Linked DNA regions of Saccharomyces cerevisiae S288C. Changing the gene in region 2 together with the main gene of any one other region gives a genetic interaction. Each region holds a gene or a part of one and is shown on either strand. Other genes may lie near its edges.

The links.
Region 1: mutations in BUD22 (region 2) and EFG1 are lethal when combined (synthetic lethality), as found in Saccharomyces cerevisiae (one study listed by BioGRID).

Annotation. Positions count from the first base shown.
Region 1 is NC_001139.9:1,037,229-1,040,264, forward strand, and holds EFG1 (Efg1p), read right to left. Parts: upstream 1,274-3,036; coding exon 572-1,273; downstream 1-571. Other genes in the region: SLH1 (RNA helicase), read left to right, coding at 1-466; YGR273C (uncharacterized protein), read right to left, coding at 1,487-2,011; TAF1 (histone acetyltransferase), read right to left, coding at 2,667-3,036. UniProt on the Saccharomyces cerevisiae protein: Involved in rRNA processing. Required growth at elevated temperatures, resistance to hydroxyurea and for cell cycle progression.
Region 2 is NC_001145.3:297,278-300,927, reverse strand, and holds BUD22 (Bud22p), read right to left. Parts: upstream 2,061-3,650; coding exon 501-2,060; downstream 1-500. Other genes in the region: ERG5 (C-22 sterol desaturase), read left to right, coding at 1-59. UniProt on the Saccharomyces cerevisiae protein: Involved in positioning the proximal bud pole signal.

The DNA of each region.
Region 1 (3,036 bases), on a different chromosome or scaffold from region 2:
AAAGCTGTTAACCTTGGAGGAAATAGGAAGGTTTGGATATAAGAAATTATTAAATGTTTTTGATCAACTAACTTTTGGAATGACAGAAAGCGAAGATACGAAAAAACGTTTCGTCAGTGTCTGCCAAAGATTACCGGTTTTAGAAGGCATGAAATTTGAAGAACAGGAAAATAACGAGGTGTTAACATTTTATAGCAAGCACCTTTCTAGTAAGCATAATAATGGGTTTGAAGTATATTGTGATAAATTCCCTAAGATACAAAAAGAACTATGGTTTTTAATTGGACACAAAGGCGATGAACTGCTGATGATTAAAAGGTGTCAACCAAAACAAATGAATAAAGAGGTCATAATACATTGTGATCTATTTATTCCCGAAGAAATTCGTGGCGAAGAATTGCAATTTTCCCTTATTAATGACGCTTTAGGATTACGTTATGATATGGTCCATAAACTAATCTCTTAGTGAGACACAATTAAAACAACAATTATTTTGTGAAAGATAACAGTGGAAATCTATCTAGTATACATCTTCGTATATATTTTCTTACATAACGCATTTAGAATTTTTTTACTCAAAAAAGTCATCCTTTTCATCTTCTCCCACAACTTGATCCAATTCTTTTCTATCCTGTGTAGGTGATACTTGTGATCCATCCTCATGATCTTTATCAGGTGATAATGTTAATCCGATGGAATCTTCATCCAATTTCTTTCCCTTCAATATCTCTTCGAAAGATACGTTTAAGGTGTTCGCATCCATTCTTTCAGCTACTAATTTAAGAAATTGTTCTCTTCTAAGATTTGTCAATTCTACGCCCTTTGGGTCTGTAGATGGTGTATCATTCGGATATAGTGCAATATACTTTTCAGTTTTGGGAAAATTTATCACGTAACATAATTCAATTTTAGTGGCTCTCAACTTTTGTTGTAAATCTTTATCATCTGCGCCAGATTCTTTTATTTTCTTCAATAATCTGTTATATTTTCTCAATGCTTTTTTTTTTTCAAAGAATCTCACCATATGATATTTTTTAGCGTTGGCTTTAATCTTATTCTTGAGTTCATTATTCTGCAATTCCAACCGTAAAGCTTGCAAATTTCTTTCCTTTTCTATTATTACTGTGGATGGAAGTATATCTTTCTTCTTTTTTAATAACCTCTCTAAATCTCTTATTCTTCTTTTAATTTTGTTTGTTCCTGCATCCATTATCTGGGACATCTCTAGAGATGACCCAAGAGCCTTGCTTCTCTTCCTCTGTAATTTAGCCATTGATTGATTAGGTTTATTGAATGATATAAGTAAAATAACTAAGTCACGATATTTGTTTTATGTATTGTTTAATTGTAGAGATGAGATGAGTATGAAAATTTTTTTGAATGTGTTTTTCTTAGTGCTCCGGCATAGGGTACCGCAGAAATTAAAGGAATACATATTTTTGAGCTTCAAGCACTTTTTATAATCTTAGCGTACTTATCTTTATATTCATCTGCAGAGTAACCGAGAAAGCCGTGATATGTGTCTTTTCTCCTTTTTTTTTTGGCTTTCCATAACTTTTTCTTCCAGTTGAGATAAATTTATTGAAGCCTGTGAGTCTTGATTAATGACGGCAAATCCAGGTCTAGGTTTAAATCCCAACTTAGATGTTTCTAGCTCTTGCAACCAGCGGGGATCTTTTGTTATGGAGTATTCAAATCCACGTATTGTATCCAATGGCCTTTCATTTCTTGCTCTTGTAGGATTTGAAATATCAGGTGTTTTTATATTCCTACCAAATGTATCCTTCATGGATTTCAAATTTCCATCTTTATCGTAAATAACATAACCATTGCAAGTTGAGTTTTCTGTTAACGGATGTATCTTCTGTAAGTTAGAGAAAGTGGCTTCTTCAAAAGGCTGGGCTTCTTGAACAGCCTCGAGGATTGGAGCGGCCAAAGAAGAAGAGCGTAATTTAATTCTTGATGTATCATCATCCTTTTCTATCTTATCTGAACTTTCGAAATGTTGCATTTTTTGATAAACTATGATTTTAGAGCACTTCAGATATTACTTTAGGAAACTTTTGCTTTAATATTCTTAACATTATAAAATTGACGACAGCATCACACTTTTGAGTGCGTCACAAATGCATATAAATGAAAAAAGGTAACTTAGTTGAGGAAAAAATAGACACAAATTAAAATTTTGATATAATTATAGTAATAAAACTACATAAATCATATTATATTTATCAAGACAAACAGGTTACTATAGGGAAAAAGATTAAATTTTGAGTAAGAATTTGCTTTTGTAAAGGAAAAGAGCAACCAGTATGAAAAATGCATATTAGGGAACCTTTTCTGCTATTGTCCTTTATGTTTTAACCTCTGTGATTTCCAATCAGACTGGAAAAATACAAGCTTTAAATACTCGAGCACAAAGACAACAATTATTGTGTTTAATCAGTGAGTTGGGCTATATTAATGGAACTCAAATAATATGCACTTTTCATCTTACTGCAAAAGTGCACATTCACACACCACGTCCATCGTTTAAGGATATGACTCAATAAATTATCAATCTGATCACTGCCAGTGTTTAGAAACATAGTGTACATTTCTTTATTGTTACATTATACAAAACCTTTACAAAAGTTTTATTCGATCAATACATCGTTATACTGAATCTACTTTGGTGAAGCAGGGTTATCTTTACTGCTATACATTGGACAAGATTTATTTGTTCTAATGTGCCCGATTTGTCCGCATGTAGCACATCTCCTTGTAGTGTTCTTACCTTTATTCCTGGCTGCTTTCCCGTCAGTTACACCGGCAAGGTCGCTACCATTATCCACAGAGTTTTCTGTTCTCGTGGCACCACCATTTCTCTTCGAATTTTGCCTTGCTGCTCTACGTTGCTGTGATTTTTCCAAATTAGCTAATTCTAGTTGCAACAGTTTTTTCTGTTTCTCAAGTTCTTCCAAGTTATTTATCTTTGAAGTGTCCTCCTCTAACAATTTGTTAACATCTTCTTTATCCTGTTCTTTGATTTTTATA
Region 2 (3,650 bases):
ATGATTTGTTACTGACTTTCAAAAAGAGAGACCCAATTACTGGAGAAGTCTTCGAATAATGGGGAAAAACAGAACTTTGTCCAGACAATAAATCATATTTACTTCATTAAGGGTTGGCGTTTTGAATACTTTTATTTTCTTCCCTTTCTCTTCATTTCAAATATAACTATTATATAGCAATCATATTTATTATTTAGATTTCTTTTATCATATTCAGGTTTTATAAACAATTTCATTTAGTTTTCTTCCATACGCTACAGCTAATGATCTGCTAAAGGTGCGACTTTACAAACAAATACTCACCCTGCCAGCTTTGGTTTCCTGAATTCTTTTTCGCATAACTAAGTTCCGTGAAGGCGAGCATGACAGCGGTAGATGATACAAAAGCTCAATAATTCAAATGCTATAACGGTACGATGTAAGATATACGCGTACATATATAAAATAGATGTGCTAATAGTTTTTATTATACATGAAGTTAGGAGATGAAGACGTTATGTTCAATCAAATTTGATCTTCTTACCTTCAAATTTAGCTTTTTGTAATTTTTCTTCAGCTAATCTTTTTGCAATCCAAGAAGGATGTTCTTCTCCAGTGGATGCACTTTCTTTTTCTTTCTTATTGTTCGTTTCAGTACGTCTGTCTTCGCGTTCCCTACTCCTAGAGGCCTCTAATGATGCTGCTTTAGCTTCACGCTTAGCTACTCTTGCTTCGTACTCGATTTGCCTCTGCTTTCTATCTTCCATTTCCTTTTCCAATTCCCTTTGAACGTGCTTGGCTTGTGAGCCGTATTTTTTTTCCCAAATCTTTCTTCTTGCCCTTTGCCCACGTCTGTTTTTCCTCTTTGGCTCGTTTGACATCTGCTCTCTGGCCGTACGGTCTTCTGCTGTGTCTCTCTTTTTCTTCTTTCCCTTAACATTTTTGTTGTCTTCATCGCTTTCCTCTTCAGTGTCATTTCCACTGTAATAACCAGCCATTAGTTCAGGTAAATTATGCAATTTTGGTTTTTTTCTCCTTGGTTCATTCTCTTCAGAGTCGCTGAAGCGTTCGTCACTGTCATCCTCATCGGATGACGCTTCGCTAGGTTCTTCATCTGTTACTTCATTGTAATTGATATTAGGGTTCAAGTATCCGCCGCCTTCCCCTTCATCTCCTGAACTGCCTAGCATTCCCTCGTATTCCTTTATCAATAGATCCTCATTGTCGGACGTTGTTTCTTTATTGCTTTGAGTTTGTGCGCCGATCGCATTAGATTTGCTATCGATGGCATTCTTTTCATTGCCGTCATCGGTGTCATAGTCAATGTTGGAGTGCGTCTGATTAGCATTGGCCGTCTTCTCCCTTGCTCCATACTTCTTTGCTTTCATAGCGCTTACATCAAATCCAAATATGAGACAAATACTCAAATCGAATGATTCGGTTAGATTTTGAACGATTTTACTTTGACCAATTAGTGCGTTTAACTTTTCACAACTTGGCAGCTTCGTAATAACTTCATTCCATATATTGCTTGGGTTCCACTTACTTGTCTTATCATTGATATAACCACTATAATCATTGTTATTCAACCAAGTTTTATTATTCGTATCACCTTCAATCTTTTTGCTTTTTTGTTTGATCCTCTGGTGTAAGATTTTGATCAGCCTAAATCTTGTCATGAAGAGTGCTAAATCATCTAATGACAACTGCGTAGCAAGCATCTTTTCAATATCTATAGAGGGTGATTTATTTTTTTGAGCATCCTTCACTTTACTAGAATTTTTTTTGGATATTTTCTGAATTTGTTCTTTTATACATTTTGATAAATGCGTCTCGTAATAGTGAATCTTATTATTGAGTAACTTTGAGTAACTTTCATCTAGTTCTTTGTCCAAAGTTTTCAACTCTAAAGAGTTTAACAGTTTTTCAATTTTCTTTTTGTTCTTTTTACCTATACAATTGTATAATTTGGCAGTTTTTGGATATCTTGGTTCAAACTTCTGTAATGATTTTGTCAAATAATGGTACTGATACTCCAACTGATCAAGCTTGTAGATAGAGACGGATGATTCGGAAGGCATGTTTCCTTTGGGTTATCCGTACACTTGACCTCTTTATACGTATATACTGGTTAAATTGCTTAAAGTAGTCATTCATACACTAAATGCACACAGTGATGAGGTAGATGAGATGAAAATTTTTGCCATATGGGCCATGTAATGTCTGGGTGTTGCTTTAATCGATCACTAACAGATGAAAAAGGTAGAATGGATAAAATACTTAAAGAATTTTATATGGCTTGTGATCAGACTGACGTGCAAATCATTTGATGAGACGTTTTCTTCATTGATGTTCTCAAGAAAATATATAGCTCAAGAAGTTGTCATCACATCACAATTAGTTATAATTAACGCAAGAGAAAATTTACTCAAGTTAATATATTTGAACTCAAATATATTGAAGAGATTAGAGTCGTCCAAATAGTCAGCATTACAATGGTTCGCTTGACCCAATTTCTAAATTTGCTAAAAATATTAAAGCTCAGTACCACGCCCTGTCACAGGCGAAATATCATCAAAGTTAATCGATAAACATTCGAAAAACGCAGTTGACCGTCGTGAAATGTGGAAATCATCATAAACAATTTTTGAAATTGGAGAAAAGTTAAAAACCTTGAAACAGTTTGTACGATCTCTCATCTCTCTCAGATAAATTTTCTAGTTTAAATTGCATCAGACACTAATTGCTCTTTTCAATCATGAAGATCAGACATATGCTTGTCTATTTGAGTAATTTGTTTCATCTTCTGCAGCATTGACGTCTCTAAGGTAGAAATTTTCTTTAAAAAACATGGAAGCAATACAGACACATCAACTGATGAACTAGTTATCTGTCGATTTTTTTCTATTTCCAAATTCTTTGCTAATCGAAAAGAATAATGTAAACAGCTTCAGAAAGGCATGAATGGTAATTTTAATAGTTGTGTCTTCACGAATGATCAGACTCGTCATCTATAAATATCTCATCATAAAAACCAATTCACATAATTATACGAAAATGAGAAAAAAATCCATTCTTCCCTATAGAAAATTCTGTTAGCCCTCAGAAAAACTTACAATGGATCAGTTGCGCGGGTTTTCTAGGCCCGCTAAAGCATTGTCACTCATTTGAAAGGATATTTGTTTCCCCCTCAGTGCCCAGTGCTGTGGATCCTCATTTCCATTGTATCAAATAGATCGAAAACATCAATCTACGGAAGAATAGCACTAAAAAACTACTGTTTTCTAAGCTTAAATGTATTCTTCCAATTTATGGAAATGTGTCAACTTTCTAGTATTTATTTTAAAGGTGTTTGCTAGGTCAGGATAGTGCAAAAACGTATCAACATATACTCGTTCAGCCAGTAATTCCAGCTTTTGTTTTTGTTATAATCATCATATGAACAAACACCTTTGAATAAATATGGAATAAAAAGAAAATTGAAATGGGTGTGGTAAATGAAAGGAGAGCAGAGAAATTGAAGAAATACTACTGTATTTCTATTTAGACTTTTCCTTTCAGTTTTTTCTTCTTTATTGCTAATTAAAAACCTCAGAAATAAGAATAAACGTTCTAATCACAAAAGATTCAGAAACTCTAGTTTGTAAAAATTTATTTTGGTCATCAAGGGA